Linked DNA regions of Elephas maximus indicus. The protein of the gene in region 1 interacts with the protein of each later gene in a pairwise test. Links are inferred from orthologs where the notes say so. Each region holds a gene or a part of one and is shown in the gene's direction. Other genes may lie near its edges. The genes, in order: L3MBTL3, PLEKHF1 and NGB.

Region 1 (3,744 bases):
GTTTATCACAACTTCAGTCACTTGAATTATTTTGTAAGTACTTGTACCTCATAGAAAAGGAGAATGACCGAGCCGTCAAAAGGAGGCCTGCAGTCAATAAGTGAGTGGAAAGCTGTCAATACCAAAATACGATACTCCCTTGATCTAGTTTTGATTTGTTAACAAAGACAGGTTTTGACGTTTACAATGGCTCAGCCATCTTGACTGAATACATTAGAAGGATACTCCACCTGCTTACTGCCAAGGTGGTTTAACACGGATTTCTGGGTTGATCTGGGAATCTCAGCATGTCTCCTAACGAAGGCCCAACATGTTTAAACTGTCAGTAAAGATCCACACAGAAGAAGAGGAAAAAACACGCAAGTTTTAAATCCATACTTCTTCACGCATTCTTCGAGTCCTAAAAGAGGGGGAGTTTTCTGCTGCGTTAAAGCTTAAAACTTTATTTCTTTATATTTTATGACCTGTAGCACAGGTTTAGCCTATAGGTAGGGTTTGTGTAAAGACTATAGGCCCACTCTTTAATGGCTGAATGCATACATTCCCCAGCACATGGTGGATTAGCTGCTCTACGAATGGCCTTAAAAAAAAGTAAAGTGGAAAATAGACAAAGAAATCTATAACCTTTACAGTCTTTCATGTTTGTTTTGCCTGTTCTTGAACCGGCTTTGAGTCGGTGACGAGGATATTGAAAAGATGCACCTGAAACGGTATCTGCCGGCAGCTGCATTTGCCAAGCGGCTCTATTGCTGCTTTCCAGCGGCGAAGGCGCAGCAGCAGTAACAGGGAAGCCAGCGCGAGCTTCCCCGGCGGCGGCGGCGGCGGCGGTGGCGGCGGCGGCACCGGCACCAGCGCAGTTTCCCCTCTCCCCAGCCCTGACTCTACGCGCACATGCGCACTGCGCCCGCAGCCCTGGACCATTTGTCAGGACTACTCGTGAGACGGAGAAAAAAAAAAGAAAAATTTTGGGGTAAGAAGCGGTTGATCTGATCTAATATCTAATTAATCTGAAGCTGTGTACATGCAAAAGCCATTCATTTATTTTTCTGGGTGAGGATGAAAGTTAAGAGCCCTACAGAGGGAAGGAAGCGCACCCTCCTCTTGTGAAACAGATCGGGGAGGGGAAAGGACAGAAGGGGTTTCTCCCCCACTTCTCTCCGCCTCTGGGAAAGAGGCGAAAACTTAATCCCGGGGAAAAAAGTGGGCAAGTGACTCTGAAATGGCTGGAGGGGGAGTCTCTGGGCATCTCACTCTGAAGTAGTGAGTGTGAGTGTGAAAGAGGAACAAAAGAGAGAGAAAAGAGAAAGGAAAAAATGGGGGGAGGAGAGACTTGTATTTTTTTCTTTGCGCGCACACGGAGAAGGGTGTGGGGGGCTGTGCGGAAGGGAGCCGGGCGAGGCGGCCGCGTCGGGCTCTCGCCCGCGCGCAGGCGGCTGGATGCGTGTGAGCCCCCTCCCCTGCGCCCCCCGAGAGCTTGTCACTTTGGTCTCTTTCATGACACCGGGAGCGGGGTGGGGGAGCGCGGCGGCGCTGGGCTCCGGGTGCGTGCCCGTGTAGGCGCCGCGGAGCCGCAGCCTGGGCGGCGAGCGCGGCCACCGAGGCTGGGGGCGCCGGCGGGGGGCGCGGGGGCGGCCGGGGCCGCGGATCGGTGCAGCGGGAGGCGCGAGCCCCGCGCGCCGCCCCTGCGGCCCCCTCCGCCCGTGTGGCCTTTGTGCCGGCGCGCACCGGAGAGCGAGCGAGCGAGCGCGAGAAGTACAAGTACGGGAGACCGAGGCAGTGGGAAAAGAGGCCGGGGCACTTTCTCGCCACTCGGGCTGCGGAGAATGGACTGGTTGAATGTGCAGGCGCGTCTTCCCGGCGTGTGCTGTGTGTGTGCGCGGCGGAAAGGCCTCTCCGACTCCCACCGCGCACACGCACACTCACACGCACGCACACACACACGGACCCACGGCAGGCTCCGCGGCCGAGAGTTTGCGTTTTCTTCTTCGCCTCCTCCCCTTTCCCGACCGAGTGTGTGAGAATTTAATATAGATCAGCTCCAATTTCCGCCATTTTGGGAAAGTTGCACAAAAATAAACCCTCCGGTTTATTTCTGCCAGAGGCAGGAAAGTGCTTGGGGAAGCGAGGCGGCGGCGCGGGCCCGCGGCTGCCGTCCGCGCTGGGGAGGGCTCGGGCACGGGCCGGGCCGGCTCTCGTGCCGTCGCGGCCACCCCGCGCCGTGCGGCGCCGGCCCGGGTGCGGGCGTGTGTCGGGAGGTGGCGGCCGCGGTAGCGGCGGAGGCAGCGGCCGCGCCAGGGCGTCGGGCTGGGGCGGTGGGGGGGGGACGCGGGGTGCCTTTTCCTGCAACTTGTTTACGCCTTTCTTATATTGGGGAGCCAAAGGGGTTCGAACAGGGGCCGCTGCCAGCCTCACGCCGCGTGCGTGTGCAATTCCGGAATAATGGGCTTTGCACACTAGTGTCCTGGGCCCGGCGGGCCATCCTCGCGCCGCGGCGGCCGGGCGGGTGGGGGGGGAAGTAGAGGCCGGCGGGGGTGGGGATCGGGAAGCGCAGGAGCCGGGGCATCCGCTGCGCGCCCCGGAGCTTGAGGTGGGGGGGAGGGAGGAAAACTTGTGAGCCCTTGGAGGGGTGGGGGCACGGTGACATGGGCGGGGGGAGGGCGCAACTTTTGTGCTAGTGGTAAAACTTTAATTACCTTGAAAGAAAAAAAAAAAGGCCCAATGATTTTTTTTCTCCCCCTTTTCTGGTCAAAGCTCGGCCCACAGCGTGACCGTGAGAGAAAGTTTAAAAGCGGGTGGTTTCCTCCCTGCTTTCCCTTCAGAGGGGTAGAGGTGTCTGTCTGTCCGTCTGCGCTCAGAACGAGGTAGGGGTAACGAGCCGCCCACCGGGGTCGCGAGGACGGTGGCACTTACCCCACCCTGTCACGGGGAGACGAAGGTAAACGTCGCTTCGGTTTCCCTTCTCCTCCCCCCAACCACCCTGCTTCCTTTTCCTCCCCCTCCCCGCCGATTTTTTTGAGGGGACCCGAAAAAACGGAGTCTCTTTCCTTATGCAACTTCCTTGGGCGCAGTGAGCACAGCCCTTCCCCCTCCCTGCATCCCTTGGCCCGCTTCTATACCACCTCGGCCCTAAACCCCAGAAACATGCATTAGAAATCTTTCAAAGTGTACAGAAACAAAAATAGATTTTTAATTGTTTTAAGTTTAGGAAAATGAGATGAGAAATAGGAATTTTTTCGGGGGGGGGATGGCTGGGGCGAGTGCGTCGAATTTTAATTTTGATTTTCCTTGAGCATTGTTCGTGATGTCTTTATTGGTCTTGGAAGCTCGAGAGACTCTGTCCTGCCTATCTTGGTCGCGTGGATTTTTGCGCAAGTTTTTTGAAAAACACTGACTCGAGGAGAGAGCATTTCTCCGTAAAGTTTCAAGTGCAGCAAAATAGCGAACGTGCAAAACTGGCCAAGGGGAGACCTCTAGTGGTTAAACGCATCTTTAAGTTCGGAAGGCCGAGAGCAAAGTTTGGCCTGTACTTGTAGCTACGTAGTCCATTCAGACGTGGAAGTAATTAGACGACCTGAGTGAGCAGCCAGATGTTGTGTGAAAGGATGCTGGTCAGGAATAGAAAGTTTAGTAAATCGGAGAGCAGTGAATCCTGAGGACTCAGACTATGTAACTTCCATCCATCATTAGTTACATGGAAAACCACTTCGCTTTTATTCTGGGATTTGAGGTTGGTCACCCCTTGTA
Region 2 (3,744 bases), on another chromosome or scaffold:
ATTTTCCAACTACTGGTTCTTCTTTGTTTCCATCTTTTGCATTCCAATCACCAGTAATTATCAATGTATCTTGATTGTATGTTTGATCAATTTCAGACTTCAATTTCTTCATCTTTGGCATTAGTGGTTGGTGCGTAAATAGTCATATTACCTGGTCTTCCTTGTAGGTGTATGAATAGTATCCTATCACTGACAACGTTGTACTTCAGGACAGATCTTGAAGTGTTCTTTTTGACGATGAATGTGATGACATTCCTCTTCAACTTGTCTTTCCTGGCATAGTAGACCATATGATTGTATGATTCAAAATGGCCAATACCAGTCCATTTCAGCTCACTAATGCCCAGGATATCCATCTTCAAGGGCTCCATTACATTTTTGATAATATGTAATTTTCCTAGATTTATACTTTGTACACTCCACATTCCAATTATTAATAGATATTTGCCCTGCTTCTTCTCATTTTGAGTCATGCCACATCAGCAAATGAAGGTCCGGAAAGTTTGACTCCGCCATGTCTTTCAGGTTGACTCTAGTTGGAGAAGGTGGCTCTTCCTCCTCTTATTTTGAGTGCCTTCTAGCCTGAGTGGCTGGTGTTCTGGTATTATATCAGGCAAGGTTCTGCTGCTATTTATACGGTTTTTACTGCCCAGTTTTTTTGGTAGGTCGCCAGGCCCTTCTTCTGAGTCTGTCTTAGTCTGGAAGCTCTGCTGAAACCTGCCCACCATGAGTGACTCTGCTGGTATTTGAAATACTGGTGGCATAGCTTCCAGGATCACAGTAACACACAAGCCCCCACAGTATACTTATCGTTATTACTACCACCGCTCTTGCTGCGAGGGGAAAAGACTATGAGGGGTCAGCAGGCAGGAGGGGGGCTGCTAGAAGACATCAGAAGGCATAACAATCCAACAGCCTCACCCTGCCCCCAGCGCCCCCCACCTTGCAGTAGGCAGTAGCAGGGTTCGCGGACTCAGTCTTCTTCGGCCACAGCAAGTATGAGGAGTGCGACCGGCAGAAACGGGAAACTGGGGGTGGGGGAACAAACCGGACGAACTGGGGAACCAGCCCCAAGGGAGCAAGAAGGAGCTGTCGCTAGGGCCCCGCCGCTCACAAGGGACCACCTGAAACTTGGGGCCGCTCCACCCCCACGCATTTCGCAAGGCTTGGCTCAGAGTTCTGGGTTCGGGCTCCGCCCCGCCAGCGCTGCGGGGCGCCGATTGGCGGAGCCTCCCCCGAGGGTGCCAGGAGGAGTTGGAACTCGGAGGCGTGGGCGGCTCGCGGCTTGGCTGCAGCGGCCAGAGGAACGCGGACGCGGGCGGAGCTGCCGGGCAGCCGCGGGCTGGCGAGAGGCGCGCGGGCGAGGGGTGTCTGGCGGAGAAGGTAAGGGCCCCGCGGCCGGGCTGGGGCGCGTGGAGCAGACGGGCTCCCCTCCCTAAGTCCCAGAGCCCGGGGCCGCTCGGTCGAGGTGGCCACGGGGCTCGGGCGGGCCGGGGCGCGCAGCCAGGGCGGGCTCCGACTCCAGACCCTTGGAGAGGCGCGGAGAAGGGCGCTCTTCGCTGGCTGGCGGGGCAGGCAGGGTGAGGGCTGCGGGGTCCAGGGAGAGCAGGTGGGGCTCCGTGGCCGAGGCGGGGCCCCTGGGCGGAGGGTCGGGAGGAGTCCCTGGGCGCTGCGCCCTGGGGCTGCAGGGATCTCAGCTCACCGGTTGTTGGGTGATGTTTCGGGGAGTCATGGCCTCACACCTCTGTCTGAACCTCAGTGATTGGTCCCAGTCTGCGGGGTCTGAAGTCGTGGGCTGGGACCACTGCCCGCCTGTGGGGAGAAAATGGGGGTCGGCAGCGCTTTCTGGGTGGCTCCGCCCTCTTTGGCCCATTTCTTTTGGGGACCGCTTGGCCCCGAAGCGCATTCGAGTTAATGACCCGTGGTGGGAACCGTCAGGGGAAACGGCCAAGCTCAATTTCCCATGTCGCAGAGGAAATAACTGAGGCCGACCCAGAGAGAGATGGTAGTTGCTTCCCAACCCTCCAGCCTGGTTTATTCGCATCCCGGACAATGGGCGAATTTCCTGGAACCCCCTTCCCTTTCTCTCTTCGAATACCCGCAGAGAGGTGTCGGTAGCAGCCCTTGCAGGTGGGAAAACTCCCAGCTACTGCAGAACTTGGTCTTCATAGCCCAAAGGAAATATTTGTTTGGAATTTTGAACAAAACTATTATCTCATCACCAGAGAATCAGAGGCCAGAGAGTCCCAGATACTCTCCCAGGCAAGCCCTGGAACAGCACCGATTCCCTGGGACAAGTGACCAGAGCTGGCTGGTGTGATCTCTCACAGTCTTGGCCTCCTGGAGAGACCAACAGCCCTCCTCAGCCCCCAGTTCCAAGCCGGAGGGGCTTAGAGAGGGTTTATGGCGGAGTCCTGCAGGCTGAGAGGTGACCCTTCTCTGGCTTTGGCCCCACATCCCTGCACACGTCAGCCCTCAGTGGTGCCAAGGCTGGCAGGCGAGGCCGCCCAGATGAGCTGAGGGTCCTGCACACCCCAGCCCACCACAGGGAATGAAGCGTAGCTTGGCCAGTGTGGCCTGGGGCAGGTCAGCCCAGTCAAACTAATAGACTTGCCCAGGCCATCTCAAGGGGCCTGTGGCCTGGAGAGGGGCCCGACCCACTGGGTTTGAGGATTCCTGACTTTGTTTTTGGTCAAGAGCAGCCTTCAGTAGCTTACGGTTAGTTTGGAGCCTGGCTTCTGGCTCACTCAGCCAGGTCCTTGGGCAGTGACTTTGAAACTGGTGATGGTATTTTCCTCAAGGGGCTTTTCTGAGAATTAAATCAGATAATACTTGTAATGTGCTCAAGTCTTGTGCCTGGAGGGCCAAGAGCTCTAGCGGGAAGTGGCACCCCTGTGGGTTATTTTTCTTGTTACTGTTACATTCAGCCCCATGGCCCAGCCCTGCCCATCGGGGGAAGCTGAAGGGTGGGGCTGGCCCCTGGATTCCGCTTTTCTCTGTGACCTTGGGCCAGGTATTACGTCCCTCTCTGATGACCAGTGTCCCTACATGTAACTCAAGGGGAAGGTGGATCAGAGCACCCCTCTCAGCTCCATCTTTCTAAGGCTCCTACGTTGAGGCACCCAGCATCTCTCTGCAGATCCCAAAGGCCGTGTTCCGAGTTCAGGAGAGGAGAGGACATGTTCCACCAGGACAAAGCCCCGTGTGGGTCACTGGGTATGTCCCTGGAACAGACACCATTGTACATTTTATATAACGCGTGGTATACCAGGGGTCAGCAAACATCTTCTGTAAAGGGCCAAGTAAGAGCTGAATATTTTCAGCTTTGTAGGCTATACAGTCTCTGTTGTATAAGGCTGTGTTCCAATAAAGTTCTATTTAGAAAAACAGGCGGTGAGCCAGATTTGGCCCTGGAGCCATAGTTTGCTAACCCCTGGTGTAGGTCAGGTATCATACATTGGCTGTCATGCATGGAATCCTGGTCACATGGCATTTGCAGCCACCTAAAAACATTCAGAGCCTGGGCCCCCAAGCCACAGCTCTCATGGTACATACCCTGAGCTTCAGTTCAGGTGGTGGGATCATATATGTTCAGAAGGGTGAGCCCAGGAACCTGCCACCCCTTCTGAATCCTGAGAGAAAGATGCAGGTGTATTCATTTCCAGGTGCTTCACTGAATTTTGGTGAGGAGGGTTTAGATCGAGGTGTGGTGGCCCTCAGTGACTCACAGCATCACTCGGCCAT
Region 3 (3,744 bases), on another chromosome or scaffold:
TCGTACCCCTGGAACCAAAAGAGATTGATTCTGGAAGGCCCTTAGAGACCATGCTGCTCAACCCTCTTACTGCACAGCTGAGGAAACAGGCCCAGAGAGAGAAGTGGACAGACTAGGAGGAGATAGGCTCAGAGACTTGAAATGGCCAATAATGAATGGGCCAGCTCTCCAAAACCTGGGCCACTAGAACTGGGCTGGGGCCTGAGAAACTTTCATGCTTGAAACAGAAAAGTTTAGGTCTGATACGTAACCAACTGTTTGCTTGGATGGCAAGCGTAAGACTGTTACCTGAAACAGTACTTTCTAAAAAAAAACTAAAGTCGATTAAAAATTATGGAACAGTAGATTGCCAGATCCTAACTCCCTCAATTTCCAGGTGAGGAAACAGGCTCACGCCTACTGCCCCCAAAGTCCCACCCTGGCTAAGCAGAGCTGGGATTAGAACTGGAGCCCACAGATTTCCAGTGATGGAGTCTCAAGAAAAGCCAGGCCTGCCTGGAAATGTCTGCAGTTTTGGCCCTGTCCCCAAGGCTGAGAGCCCTGGTGGCCTCCAACCTATGCCGGTGCCCCAGTCAGACCCTGAGCCAGGGCAGGGGGCACCGCATTCTCAGCCTGGTCATAAAGGTATGCTCCCCAGCGCACTCTGGACAACTTCAGGGCAGAAGAAAGGAGAAAGAGATTGACAGCAAACTCAAATGCCTCTGGGCAATGTTTGGGTGGGGCTTGTGGAGAGGCGGTCAAATTCAACACAGCGCCATCAGGGTTCCATATCCTAAAACGAAAACCCGTTGCCTTGGAGCGGATTCCGACTCAAAGTGACTATTTAGGACAGAGTAGAACTGCCCCACAGGATTTCCAAGGTTGTAAATCTTTACGGTAGACTGCCACATCTTTCTCCTGCGGAGCAGCTGGTGTGTTGAACCGCCTACCCTTTGGTTAGCAGCCCAGCGCTTAACCACTGCGCCACCAGAGCTGTCTTCCAGACACTAAGTAGTAATATTATCACCAGTTTCCAGATGCGAAACTGAGGCCCAGGGAGGCTGGAAGATTTCAGTTAAGCACTGAAGCTCGGGCATGTCCCACGCCACCAGGTCGTTCTCGGCCGGAGCCGGTTGCGGAGAGAGAAAGAGCCTTGATGGACGGACGGGGGCGGGGAACGCGGTCTCTTTAAAGCGCCCCGCCGGGGCGGCGCGGGGCGGGGCCGCTGGCTGAGCTGCGGGGCGCAGGGCTCAGCGGCGGGAGAGGGGTCCCCGGCAGCACCAGCGGGGTGGGCGCGGCTGGGGCGCCTCCACACACCGCGAGCTGCTGCGCGTCTTCGTTCCACTCCGACCAAGGAAGGAGCGGCCGCTGACTCGGCGGAGGCGCGGGGACTGTAAGGGGTGCGGAGTGGCCTGAGTCTCCACAGAGATGGCGCTGCACGTGCAGTGACGGCCCCCGCGCCCCGAGAATCCCAGCCGTGTGCCCCGCGTCCCCGGCGAGCATGCAGCGCCCCGAGCACGAGCTGATCCGGCAGAGCTGGCGCGTGGTGAGCCGCAGCCCGCTGGAGCACGGTACCGTCCTGTTCGCCAGGTGAGGCGGCCGGAGCGCCGGGGTCCCAGCCTCGCGGGATGGGCTCGAGAGTGCTGGCTTGGCCGTAGGAGGGGAACCAGCCACCGCCTTGGCGCCGGGCGCCCGCCAAATGTGCGCCAGAGACGGCGGAGCGCGGCGACGGTGGCGCAGCCCCTTGTGAGCTTCCTCGGACGTGGGTGCGTCCTGCGGGCAGCGCTGCACCTGCAGCAACCGCTTGGGCTCATGGAGGTGGGCGGGGGCCTCGCTAGCGAATCTCCTCACACCTGGCCAGCTGTGGCCCCTGCTCGGCTTTGTGCCTCCCGCACGTTCCTTGGGTGGCGACTGCAGGACGCCCACGGCCGCCGGGTACAGGGGACTGGGGAGCCCCAAGGGTCCGTGCGGGGAGGGTGTGCCGGGCGCACCCATGGGTGGTTAGCGGTGCACAGAGTCCGGGCCCTAGGCGTGCGTACTCCCAGCAAAAGATGGAAGGATAACCCTACTGGGGAAGGGACCAGGCTAGGACCAGAGATCCTCCGAGGAAGGGGTGAGAGCCGCCCAAGTCTCACCACCGAGGAGGCCCTTAGGCGGTGTGCAGACCCCACCAGGCTAGGGAAGGTCAGTTTGCAACCCCAGCTTGGGGACCTCTCCCCAACTCCTATACCATCACCAACGGGAAGGGCGCGGATTATCCAATAGGCAAGGTAAGCACGGTTGTTTACCTGGTTTGCTAGATCATTAATCTTAGTAAGTAAGCACAAATAAGCCCATGCTTACCTTGCTTACTTCATCATCTGCCGGTCAGGGACTGTCCCTTGGAAAAGAGGCTTTGATTCTGTAGGAAGGTGCTGTGGGACAGGGGGAAAGACAGATGCCAGCCATACTTAGAAGCAGCATCTTTAATGTGGTGAAAATATGTGAAATTGTCCACTACAGATGATGAAGTAAGCAAGGTAAGCACCATGCTTACCTTGCCTACTGGTTAATCTGCCCCTGCTAACAGAGCAACGCTCCCTTCCTCACCTTGGATTTTCAGGAGCTGGGGCTCCCTGAGGCAGCCCAAAACTTCCCCTGAGGCTTTTGTAAAAAAAAAAAAAAAAACAAAAACTCCCCCAAGACAGAGGGAGATAAACACAGAGTTCCACAAAACCACCACATGCCTCCCAAACGTGACTGAGATCTTCCGCTTCCATCTCTTTGCCGTCTCCAAACATGCACTCCCTGGAGCTCCACCACCCCCAAATGGTGTGACCTAGGGCACATTACTTAAAACCTCCTGTAAAATCAGAATAGCAGTTGTGCCCACTGCTTGGGATGGTGAGGAAGACATGAGCTTACCACAGGTGAAGTACTCAGTGCTCAGTCATTATGTGGATTTTGTTCTTGATACTATTGTTATCATCACCTACTGGAAACAGGAGGAGCCTGGGAAGCTCTGACCCAAGAGTAGGAGGCTGAAACAGAGAGGGAGAAAGAAGGACTTTCCTCTCCCCATAATGTAACTCTAGATTTCCTATTATGAGGACCTCCTTCCTGTCCCAGCCCACACCCCATAACTATTTATGAAGGGGCTACTGTATGCCAGAAGGAGCCCTGGTAGCACAATGGTTAAGCACTCGGCTGCTAACAGAAAGGTTGGTGGCTCAAAGCCACCTAGTGGCTCTGCAGGAAAAAGACCTGGCAATCTGCTTCTGTAAAGGTAACCAAAACCAAACCCATTGCCATCAAATTGGATCATAATGACTCTGTAGGACAGAGTAGAACTGTCCCATGTGGTTTCCAAGGCTGTAAATATTTATGGAAGCAGACTGCCACATCTTTCTCCTGAGGAGTGGCTGGTGGGTTCGAACCACTGACCTTTTGGTTAGCAGCTAAGCACTTTAACCACTGTGCCACCAGGGCTCCTTCCTGTAAAAATTACAGCTATTAAAAACCCTATAGGGTAGTTCTACCCTGTCACATTGGGTTGCTATGAATAGGAATCAACTTGATGGCGCCCAACGATCATATGCCAGATACTGAGAGACCTGGAGATGCATTGTTCTTCCCAGGTCGCCCCTCAGAGCTGGCCTAAGTGTTGGGGAGGAGGCAGCAGCAAAGCTGGCAAAGGGCCCATGTCAGGTTGGAGGGTGCACCAGAGTTTACAGCCAAAGCCCTGGCTCAGCCCCCACTCCCATTGCTGGACAACCAGGGCTCGCG

Evidence for each region.
Region 2: the proteins of L3MBTL3 (region 1) and PLEKHF1 interact in binary tests that used the Homo sapiens proteins (3 or more experiments, as listed by UniProt). The two-hybrid records come from large-scale screens. The link is inferred for Elephas maximus indicus from reciprocal best matches to the Homo sapiens genes L3MBTL3 and PLEKHF1.
Region 3: the proteins of L3MBTL3 (region 1) and NGB interact in binary tests that used the Homo sapiens proteins (3 or more experiments, as listed by UniProt). The two-hybrid records come from large-scale screens. The link is inferred for Elephas maximus indicus from reciprocal best matches to the Homo sapiens genes L3MBTL3 and NGB.

What each region holds. Positions count from the first base shown.
Region 1 is NC_064819.1:198,635,037-198,638,780, forward strand, and holds the start of L3MBTL3 (lethal(3)malignant brain tumor-like protein 3), read left to right. Parts: upstream 1-850; 5' UTR 851-970; intron 971-1,054; exon of another isoform or gene 1,055-1,443; intron 1,444-1,692; exon of another isoform or gene 1,693-1,758; intron 1,759-1,924; exon of another isoform or gene 1,925-2,014; intron 2,015-2,751; exon of another isoform or gene 2,752-2,935; intron 2,936-3,275; exon of another isoform or gene 3,276-3,727; intron 3,728-3,744. UniProt on the Homo sapiens protein: Is a negative regulator of Notch target genes expression, required for RBPJ-mediated transcriptional repression. It recruits KDM1A to Notch-responsive elements and promotes KDM1A-mediated H3K4me demethylation.
Region 2 is NC_064839.1:11,415,497-11,419,240, forward strand, and holds the start of PLEKHF1 (pleckstrin homology domain-containing family F member 1), read left to right. Parts: upstream 1-1,254; 5' UTR 1,255-1,383; intron 1,384-3,744. UniProt on the Homo sapiens protein: May induce apoptosis through the lysosomal-mitochondrial pathway. Translocates to the lysosome initiating the permeabilization of lysosomal membrane (LMP) and resulting in the release of CTSD and CTSL to the cytoplasm.
Region 3 is NC_064828.1:90,064,688-90,068,431, reverse strand, and holds the start of NGB (neuroglobin), read left to right. Parts: upstream 1-1,480; coding exon 1,481-1,569; intron 1,570-3,744. UniProt on the Homo sapiens protein: Monomeric globin with a bis-histidyl six-coordinate heme-iron atom through which it can bind dioxygen, carbon monoxide and nitric oxide.